Linked DNA regions of Arabidopsis thaliana. The protein of the gene in region 1 purifies or fractionates together with the protein of each later gene. This does not show direct contact. Each region holds a gene or a part of one and is shown on either strand. Other genes may lie near its edges. The genes, in order: MSD1 and POP2.

Evidence for each region.
Region 2: the proteins of MSD1 (region 1) and POP2 fractionate together in Arabidopsis thaliana (co-fractionation; one large-scale study listed by BioGRID). This does not show direct contact.

Annotation. Positions count from the first base shown.
Region 1 is NC_003074.8:3,415,887-3,420,598, forward strand, and holds MSD1 (manganese superoxide dismutase 1), read left to right. Parts: upstream 1-2,053; 5' UTR 2,054-2,128; coding exon 2,129-2,423; intron 2,424-2,901; coding exon 2,902-2,948; intron 2,949-3,028; coding exon 3,029-3,154; intron 3,155-3,265; coding exon 3,266-3,322; intron 3,323-3,441; coding exon 3,442-3,519; intron 3,520-3,602; coding exon 3,603-3,695; 3' UTR 3,696-4,006; downstream 4,007-4,712. Other genes in the region: AT3G10915 (Reticulon family protein), read right to left, coding at 215-381, 559-628, 732-873, 970-1,150, 1,491-1,570, 1,703-1,818; AT3G10930 (uncharacterized protein), read right to left, coding at 4,342-4,647. UniProt on the Arabidopsis thaliana protein: Destroys superoxide anion radicals which are normally produced within the cells and which are toxic to biological systems.
Region 2 is NC_003074.8:7,833,372-7,839,442, forward strand, and holds POP2 (Pyridoxal phosphate (PLP)-dependent transferases superfamily protein), read left to right. Parts: upstream 1-1,772; 5' UTR 1,773-1,914; coding exon of another isoform or gene 1,915-1,959; 5' UTR 1,960-2,085; coding exon 2,086-2,157; intron 2,158-2,370; coding exon 2,371-2,471; intron 2,472-2,568; coding exon 2,569-2,653; intron 2,654-2,729; coding exon 2,730-2,802; intron 2,803-2,904; coding exon 2,905-3,002; intron 3,003-3,150; coding exon 3,151-3,243; intron 3,244-3,336; coding exon 3,337-3,410; intron 3,411-3,497; coding exon 3,498-3,536; intron 3,537-3,623; coding exon 3,624-3,712; intron 3,713-3,785; coding exon 3,786-3,862; intron 3,863-3,950; coding exon 3,951-4,025; intron 4,026-4,126; coding exon 4,127-4,174; intron 4,175-4,291; coding exon 4,292-4,375; intron 4,376-4,456; coding exon 4,457-4,544; intron 4,545-4,626; coding exon 4,627-4,705; intron 4,706-4,849; coding exon 4,850-4,943; intron 4,944-5,026; coding exon 5,027-5,105; intron 5,106-5,208; coding exon 5,209-5,324; intron 5,325-5,412; and 4 more. Other genes in the region: IQD5 (IQ-domain 5), read right to left, coding at 58-141; AT3G22210 (uncharacterized protein), read right to left, coding at 5,764-5,877, 5,965-6,060.

The DNA.
Region 1 (4,712 bases):
ACGTCGTTTAACGAACAGCGGTGTTAAACTTTTTTTGTATTTTTTCCTCCAGTGGTGTTAAGCTTCAGACGAAGGCAAGAGTTAATTTAGTTGAACAAAGAAACCATCTTATATTCATTCTGGATATGGCGTTTAGTTATACTACAAATGGTGAATAACAAGAAAAGCTAAACAAAAACAAGTAAAAGCATTCTCAGAATCACCAAAGTTAAGCTCATGAATCTTTATCCTTGGATAAGCTCCATGAGAGTCTGCTTATAACATTTTCGTCTACTATTTTGTAGTGGTGAGACAACCGCCTGTGAATCGTCCCGCAACACTTGTCTACTTTGCTTTGATATTTACTGTACAAAGCCGGTATTGTTACAGATAGGATGGTCCCTGTTCACACCATAAAAAGTATAAACTTCATATAAGAATTTGGTTCACTGAGTTTAAAACAACAATGTCGCAGGAACTAAAACGAGATCAACAAGCCAACGTGGGGGATGAAACTGAAGGATCAAAAAACATAGAAGCTTTTTCCTTTCATTTGCATTTAAGGATCAAGTTACTAACCGATGTAAAGAAGAGTGCAGAGAGATATATAGCTACCAATGGCAGAGAGAAGCCACAGACAAATCACCACCTGCTAAAGAAAAATCGTCAGACCAACAGTTCAGATGCTTAACGGTTCCCATGTCATTTCACTCAACATCATCGTGAGTTTCTGAATGGGTTAGCTTCATAACCTTGAAGAAGAGTCGAAAATCGTTGCCAACTGTGACATCATGAGCCATTACAAGCAAGTGATTGAGTTTTATACGGAAAGAAGCTGCAGCACTATTCACCATTTCCTCTGATAGAACAAGCTCTGGCAACGAATGCAACTGTCTGCTTATAAAGAGATAACAGGTAGAAATCATCACTAATCAGTCACATAACAGCAAAGAATTAAGAAAAAGAAGACTAGTGAAAAGTAGAGCGCACCTATTCCTAAAAGCAGAAACCCGGGCATGAACGAATGATATCATGATCACGATGAGTAAGACATCCGAAGAAACAGATAAGAAAGGCAACCCGGAAAACTCGAATATAAGCCAGGCTACAGTTGATATAATGATAACCCCCAAAGAAAGATGTCGCCTCCTCCATAAGAGCAAGTCAGCAGCTACATCAAAGAACAAAGCCATACAAAAATCACAAACAGTAGCTTTTTGCTGGACCTATGAACTCATCATGCGTATCCAGAGATTTGAATCAATCAATTTCTCATTCAAAATCAAACCTAAACCTAACTTTCACCTGCCAAGTTTTCCATTTTCTACTATACCCAAAATGCTAAATGTACTTACACACATGACGATTTTCACAACCAACCAAAATCAGAAACCCTAACTATTCCAACTATCATCCCCAATTTGAATTTTCTGTTCTGTAAATCCGAGAAAATTCTCATCACAAACTACCAAAATGATGAAAAAACACAAATTCTGGAAAAAAGAACTCGCCTTTGCCACCACCCATGAACTGATGAACCGTAATCTGCCGACCCAACAATCGATAATCCGATGACGATCCTCCTTCATTTCTTCCATCGAAATCACCATCGATATCACTTAAACTATCCATCGGAGAATTAAAAAAAAAAAACCGAATTTACACAAATTCTCCGACTTCCAGGTTCCTATTTCGATCTCGCCGACTCCGATTTGAAATTTACCTTAAAGATACGATCTCAGTACAATGGTTTGTGAAAGCAGCTAGATTGATGGGAGAATGACAGCGATTGGGTGGATTATCAAGGAGGAACCAAATAGAATTGGCTTTCACATGCATCCAACAAATTCAACATTTGGAAATTCTCCGTTTCTAGTCAACTTTCTTCATTTCTTTATTTTTTTCCTGTGAACAAACAAAAAAGTAACATTTAGCCGTCACAAAATATTAAAAATTACGCTTTATTATATTAAGGCCTTGGGCTCACTAATCCAATATTACGGCCCATAAATAAAAATCACATGTCTACGTGTCAAAACAGTCACTTTTCTCTATACATGACAGGCAGTGATATTATCATAACCCTCCACTTATACACATGTTCATTTTTGGCGACCACTAGAAGGAGAAACAAATCTTCATTCCAACAATGGCGATTCGTTGTGTAGCGAGTAGAAAAACCCTAGCCGGCTTGAAGGAGACATCATCGAGGCTATTGAGGATCAGAGGGATTCAGACTTTTACGCTTCCTGATCTTCCTTACGATTATGGCGCATTGGAACCGGCCATTAGTGGAGAGATCATGCAGATTCATCACCAGAAGCATCACCAGGCTTATGTTACTAATTACAATAATGCTCTTGAGCAGCTTGATCAAGCTGTGAACAAGGGAGATGCTTCCACTGTTGTTAAGTTGCAGAGCGCCATCAAATTCAACGGCGGAGGTGTGTTTGTGTGTCTGACTCTCTTTTTTTTTTTTTTTTACGATCTCGATTTCTATGTGTTTGATCGATTGGTTTGTGTTTAGATCGTGTTTGGATGATATTAGCAAATGAAGTAGTTGATTTAGGAGAGAAATTTGGTTTGAACAGTGAAGCTGATGAGTAATTTTGATGAATTGGGATGAAACTTCTGTAAGAATCAATGAAACTTTTATCGGTAATGCAAGCTTTCTTAGATAGCTACTTTTGTTTGCTGGGTCTTGAGATCATAACCAGTTGATTTAGTATAGAACTTTTGTTAGGAACATTGAAGCTGTTGATTAATTTTGATGACTATAGTTTGGTATTAGGATTGTTGCTTCTTGAGCTCCGGACCGGTTGGATTGATAGAAGAGAAATTGGCAGAGAAACTATTGGAAATAAATTGAGTTTTTTGTGTGCTAGAGAATGGGAATTGATCGACTTTATTTCTAACGTGCAGGTCATGTCAACCATTCGATTTTCTGGAAGAACCTTGCTCCTTCCAGTGTGAGCTTGTGTTTTGAGTTTCTGTGTATTTCTTCGATTTTGTTGTTCTGTAATTGATGGTTTGTTTTAATGTATAACAGGAAGGTGGTGGAGAGCCACCAAAAGGATCTCTTGGTAGTGCCATTGACGCTCACTTTGGCTCCCTTGAAGGTCTGGTGAAAAAGATGAGTGCTGAGGGTGCTGCAGTGCAAGGCTCAGGATGGGTGGTCTGTAGTCTAGTTTCACCTTTTTATTTCATCTGCTCACATTGTCGACTCTGGTGCTTTACGTATAATAACCATGGTCCTTGATTCGCTTGTTTCTGTTGATTAATTCAGTGGCTCGGACTAGACAAAGAACTGAAGAAGCTAGTTGTTGACACAACTGCCAATCAGGTAACTTATCCATGATCAGGAATGCGCTATTGAATATGTTCAAAAGATTTCTTGGTACTCATGAACATCTGTGAGAATAATGGGTTTTAAAGAAAAAGAGTTTGTTTCGGTTGGTGCAGGATCCATTAGTGACAAAAGGAGGAAGCTTGGTACCTCTGGTGGGTATAGATGTTTGGGAGCACGCCTACTACTTGCAGGTAACAACACTTTTGATACCTTAAGTCTCATGAGTTAGCTTAAAAGATTAAGCTCTCTAATCAATCTGTATTCTCTCATTCAGTACAAAAATGTGAGGCCTGAGTATCTGAAGAATGTATGGAAAGTGATCAACTGGAAATATGCAAGCGAGGTTTATGAGAAGGAAAACAACTGAATCGTTTACACGATGACATAAGGAGATGAACCAGTTCCAGCTCAGCTTTTGTTTTAAGGTTGTCTGAAACAAACTTACAGTGTCTCTTTGGTTTTTAAGATTTGCTCAACTCAGCTGTGTGGTACGTTGTTTTACAATGAAAGTTTTCAAGAATAAAAATTTGCTATTATTGTCAGAAAGCGCTATTGTTTATTCTACGAAGAAAACAAAACGGAATCTTATTGGTATAATAATTACCTCATTTCAATAAAACAATAACTAATTTTCTCGTTTTTCACTACTCGACACATATATGACAGGAATATTATAACGAAGAAATTTGGGATTAATGAAATTTGTGAAATAATGCATACACACTTGTGTAATAAAAATGCATTATCTTTGTGTCTGCGTTGTGGAAAATGGATCATAGTCAAGTCTCATAAAAAACGCGTTCAATTCAATTTATACATATTTCGCCTAACTTTTGATTCTTTACGCCTTGGCCCCATTCTTATCTTTTAATTTTATCTCTTTCTTGGAAGTTACCCAAACACTAATACAATGTCAATTCAAATGGTATCCTTGACTCTTTTATGCGTTTAACTTAAAAGACTTTCTTAGTCTAAATAAAATTGATACATAATCATAGAAATTAAAAAGCTGATTAACGTTTATCAAAGAAATATTGATGAAACGATACAAGATGATAGTCTAAGTCTTGATCATTTCGACTTACATTACCAAATAAAATCCTCATTTTTCCTAAACTTCTACTGTAAATTTCTGTAATACATGTAACATTTACAATAATCTCTATTTGAAAACGAAAAATCAAAGAATCTCTAAAGAACAAAAAAAGAAAGAAGTAAGAATTAGGACAGAAAACTCTAGAAAGAATAGTGCTAAGTCTTGACGTCGTTAGTTTTCTTGCTGGGTCCAGACCCCGGACGACTCCCTTTCGGAAGAGCATTCAACACCAAGGACCCGAACTTTCCGGCGACAACTTCAGGAACAAAAGAAGAATATTCCGTCTTG
Region 2 (6,071 bases), 4.4 Mb from region 1:
CATAATTAAGACAAAAAGAAAGAAACTCTTGTAATAATCTTCCTTTGAAGTACTCACATTTTCATCTTTCTTGGAAGACCTAGACTTATCAGATTTAGTAAAACCAACCAATGCTTTAATCCATCTCCCTGAAGCTCCCATTCTATCTCAATTCCAACGATCAGCAACATAAAACAACACAAAACCTGCAAAATTGCCAATTTAGCAACTAAATTATTCAAAACAGTAAAGCTTTCTCCTTTTTGATAACAAAATAGACAAAAATGGAAACTTTAATTGAGTTCACTAAATTCTCCTGACAATGTTGGATCCTTAATATTAAAACCAAGAAATTTAGTAATGAACACTAACAAAAAATCCAAACTTTGCAAAATTGAGACACATCGAGGAGAAGCAAAATTCAAAAACTTTACACCGGCGGCGAAGGAAAGATCGCCGATGAGATCTTTAAAGAGAGTGAGTGGCGACTTCGTGATCTTTTCTTCTTCAGTCAGTGAGCGTCTTTCTCGGCTACTTTACTTTTTCCTCTCTCTCTCTACTCTACAAAAAGAAAAAGGTCCATACTTTATTCTCTCTCTAGGGGATATGTGTGTGAACGAACATATACAGATAGATAGGAATTGACTTGATTGATCGTTTCGTTTTCCCTCTCCTCTCTCAGATACGATTGATTGAATGATAGATTAGATTGCACGCCGTACGCGTGCTCTATTCTTCAATTTGGCGGCGTTTTTTGACCTCGAAACGGCACGCAGTTTTAGTTTGAAATATGTTTGATTCTCTTTTTTAATTAATGCATGCATTTATGTGTGTAAGTCTTGTTTGCAGTCTGATATTTTGAATGGAGAAGACAAAATAAGTTGACGTGTCACCTAATTATATGATGTCACTAGTTTTTGTAATGTTGGATCATTATTAGTATCTTTTTTAATCTAAATTAAAGATAATTATTATTTTTTCGTTTACTTTTGTTAGACGTAACAACTATCACATGGTTATGTAATAATCTTATGGAAACTCGTATATTAAAATAATTTTTACTCCAGTTTTTCCTACTATCCCTCCTTAGAAATTGAAATATGCCATCAAATTTGGCTACTTTTTCTGTTAGTTGGGTTGGCCTAGTTGGTGTTTTTATTTAGTAAATGAAAAATAAAAAGATAAAAACAAACACACAAAGAAAAGTTATTAGAATATGTCCTACATAAAATTTTATTTATGTATAGAATAATATATAAATATATGGTAAAATTTCCACTTGAAGTAATTTTTAAGTATGAGTTAGGCTCATACTAATATGCTATAAACCTAAAGTTTTAATGTGTCTCGATTGTGAACCATATATAGATGTCCAGTCCCATAACCTTAACGTTTCAGATGTCCATTTCTAAACGCGAGGGAAGAAGTGTATTAAAATGTGTTCCACATCGAGACATAATTTTTTTTTCTTCAAATTGGAGTGATTTTTTTTACTATATTTCTCCATTTTATTTATTTCAGCAGAAAATATAATAAAATTTTAATTGATATTTTTATGGTATGGCTGCTATATACAACTAGCCTCTTATTTGTTTTTTCTTTCCCTTGCTACTACTGCACCAGTTACAACCTATTATTATTATCTCTGTGAGAGAGCAGCAAAATGATTTGTTTCCCTTTAAAATAAAATAAATCAAAAATAATATTAAGAAAATGACTCAATGACACGTCACTGGAAAAAATCAAATGGAACTCGAAAAGATTAAATAAATAAAAAGATATAAGGCATCATCATCATCAATTCATCATCCTCTGTTTTGTAACCAATCTCAGCTCTCCCTCTCAAACAATCCAGGATTCTTCAGATTCCTCTCCTTTGATCCTCTCTTTAACAATCTCTCTCTCTCTGTTTTCTTCGATCCGTTGTAGGAGAAAATGGTCGTTATCAACAGTCTCCGACGCTTGGCGCGTACCACTCAGGTTCTTCCACTTCTTCTTACTCGCTTGATGATCTCATTATTCTCACATACATGATCCTCGATTGCATCATCATAATTTTCCCCGAATGTTTTGCTTAATAGATCAGGAGTCAGAATAACATTGAATATGCCAACAATTGTAAATAAAAATCTAATCTTTTTTCAAAACGCCAAATTGACGTGGATCAGGATGAAAAAGGTCATGTCTTTTCGAGAGTATATACTTTTCTGAGATTCTCCAGTAATCAAGGAACAAACTTTTTCTCATAAAGTGGAACAAATCTCTTGTTGTGAATGATAATCTTCTTATAACAAAGAGATAAATTTGAAGAAAATTCTGTGGAGATCATTATATCCTAACCCAAAAACAGTGATGTGATTTATAGTGCTAATATTTTTACTCTAATGGCAGGTTCATTTGCACAGTAAGTATGCCACTTGCATGTCTGGGAACTCCACTTCCAGGAGGATTTTCACTACTGAGGCAGCACCTGAGAAGAAAAACACTGTTGGGTGAGTTATTTTTTAATGCTTCTAAGCGTTGTATTCTGAAGGCTTTATAGCGTCGTCAACGAGACATGAATAGTGGTGATGTTTTTATTCTGAGCAGGTCTAAAGGGCATGATATGCTTGCACCTTTTACTGCTGGATGGCAGAGTGCTGATTTAGATCCCTTGGTCATTGCAAAGTCTGAGGTACATGTCAAAATCTCATTTTCATAGTGTAAATGTTGAGTCAAACAGTTGTGTAAGTGTGACGTTTTTCTTACAGGGAAGTTATGTGTATGATGATACTGGGAAAAAATATCTTGACTCTCTCGCTGGTTTATGGTGTACTGCCTTAGGTATTCTTCCTTCTAATACTACTAAACATGAATTGATGTTTCTTTTTCTGCAGTTTGGTATTCCTTGATTCTGACCCTCATTGTTAACCCAAAACCTTGCAGGAGGAAATGAGCCAAGGCTTGTTTCTGCCGCTGTTGAACAGTTGAACACCTTGCCGTTTTATCACTCCTTTTGGAACCGTACTACTAAACCTTCTCTGGTACTCCAGACTTTCCCTTTTGGTGTCATTTTTATAATGTTTTCCTACAATTTCCTGCTACTCTCTGTGTCCTGTTAAGACTCAGAGCAGTATACTTTATGAGATATCAAAGAGAATTTGAGCAATGTGATGTTTTCATACTAAACAGGATCTTGCTAAGGTTCTTTTAGAGATGTTCACGGCCAACAAAATGGCCAAAGCATTTTTTACAAGCGGTGGATCAGATGCCAACGATACCCAGGTTTCCATAACTATACTTCAAACCTTGATCTCGTATTTTCTAAGTTTTCGACCTATAAGAGTTGTTTATGAATTTCCTGTATATATAATGCAGGTCAAGCTGGTTTGGTATTACAATAACGCACTTGGAAGGCCCGAGAAGAAAAAGTTTATCGCGAGAAAGAAATCGTGAGTAATGATTTTTGCTTGTCCTTTTCCATTTGTCTGTTTTTATAAGATCTCAGAGTGTTTACAAATGCAATGTTATCATTTCAGGTACCATGGCTCCACTCTAATATCAGCAAGTTTGTCCGGGTAGGATAAATATTGTTCCTCATATGTTCTTTCTAGAAGTGCTAAAGATTCCTTCTTTTCCCTAACAAAGTTAGTTTGTTGTTCCAGCCTTCCCCCGCTACACCAAAATTTTGATTTACCTGCACCATTTGTGTTGCACACAGATTGCCCTCATTATTGGCGTTTTCATCTTCCAGGTATGAATGATCCTCACTGCCATTTCAAACAGTAAAAGTATCTGTTATTATAACCTTTGAATTGCTTGTTCAGGCGAAACGGAAGAGGAGTTCTCAACCAGATTAGCCAAGAATTTAGAGGATCTAATCATCAAAGAAGGACCAGAAACTGTAAACTTCTATAGTTACTTACGAAAATTCTTGTCTTTATGCTACTAGCAGAACCAGATTAGTCTAACAGAAAGCGTCTTCTTAATAGATTGGTGCTTTTATAGCTGAACCAGTCATGGGTGCTGGGGGTGTGATACCTCCACCTGCTACCTACTTTGAAAAGGTCATTTTCGGAAACTTTGTTGGTACTGATAGCATGATATTGGGCTCTTTTTGCCGTTTCATTTTGTTTATCCGAGTGTGTTTTCTCTTTCTGTACTGCAGGTTCAAGCTGTTGTTAAGAAATATGATATCTTGTTCATTGCTGATGAGGTATGTGCATGTCTTATTGAACCATGTTTACCATCAGTCCACACAGGATCATGACCCCAAGTATCCATCAAGAAGAAGATTTATCATTATCTGTTTTTATTTTGTTTGGTCTTTAAGGTGATATGTGCATTTGGAAGGCTCGGGACAATGTTTGGCTGTGACAAATACAACATTAAGCCAGATCTTGTGACCTTAGCTAAGGTGAGATTTTGCAAGATGATTAGTAGTTTTTTTCTGTTGGCAAATTTCCCCTGACAAGTTGTAAATGTTTCCAATATACAGGCACTGTCTTCAGCATATATGCCGATTGGAGCCATTCTTATGAGCCAAGAAGTGGCAGATGTCATAAATTCTCATAGCAGCAAGCTAGGTACAGTATTTTGGTAATGTTCACACTGGTTATATTCCAATGTTCTGATCTTAATATGCTGGTGAAAACGTTTCTATTTCAGGCGTTTTCTCCCATGGATTTACTTATTCTGGTCATCCAGTTTCGTGTGCTGTAGCAATTGAAGCGTTAAAGATATACAAGTAAGTTTGTCACTTTGCATACAAGTGAGCCAGTTTTTAGATTGTAATTTGCCAAAAACATCAAAACCTGTCACACAGTTGACTAAGTTTCTCGCTTCTCTATTCTTACTGCACTTTTTTGTGACGATCATATTCATATTACAGGGAGAGGAACATACCAGAGTATGTCGCCAAAGTTGCCCCAAGGTTTCAAGATGGAGTTAAAGCGTTTGCCTCTGGTAGTCCTATTATTGGAGAGGTTACCATTTCTCTTGGTCCTTTACTTACCAGTTTTATTCAATAAGAATTATTTGACTGAGGACATTTTGTGATGGTTATCAGACAAGAGGAACAGGTTTGATTCTTGGGACTGAGTTTGTAGACAATAAATCTCCGAACGAACCATTTCCACCAGAATGGGGTAAAAGAAATCACTCTCATGACCAAACATTAAAAAGTCTCTCTTCTCCAAAACTCATTTACCATACTAATCTCTACACCATTGTTTCAATTGATGTTTACAGGTGTTGGCGCATTCTTTGGAGCCGAGTGCCAGAAGCACGGGATGTTAGTCCGTGTTGCAGGTGATGGCATTTTGATGTCTCCACCGCTCATTATCTCACCTGAAGAGATTGATGAGGTAAATGTCCCAATCTTGAGACATAAATATTGCTGTTGTCTGCTAAATCTTGTGACCAATTCACTGAAACTCTCTCTCTCTCTTTTATAGTTGATTTCTATCTATGGGAAAGCATTGAAGGCAACGGAAGAGAAGGTAAAAGAACTCAAGGCTCAGCACAAGAAGTGAAAAGCAGAGTCAAAATGATGTTGATGAAAAATGTTTTTTAGATTCTCAAAGTTTGGATCCTTTGTTTTTTTTTTTAACACACAACAAGTCTTTAAATAAGTACATTTTAATGAGGAATAAACAATAATGGGACAACATCTGACGATGTGATCAAGATCATCTACTAAACCAAAAATGCAGCCATAGTTAACAATAACCAAACTCTTTTGAATTGTTTATTTGTACGAACATTGAAAAGCAAAACGATCATGGATCATGGTGATTTTTGGAATCAAGATTTAGGACGTTTTTTGTTTGCTTCTCTCTTTGATCTTCTCTCCCTTGAACTTAGAGAAGTCTTGAACCCAACTTCGTTCTCCGAGTCGTACACATCTTTAAACGATTTCTGCACACACACACTTGATTTTTTCTTAAAATTATATGTAAAAGATCAAAAATGTTGAGAATAAGGAGTAGTTTCATAACAGTGAACCTCTCTGATCTCGGCAAAGCTAACGGCATAGAATGTTACGACCGAGACTGCGACGATTCCAAGAACAGGGAGTGCGATATGGCTTATCCCTTCCATTTTCTTCTCTT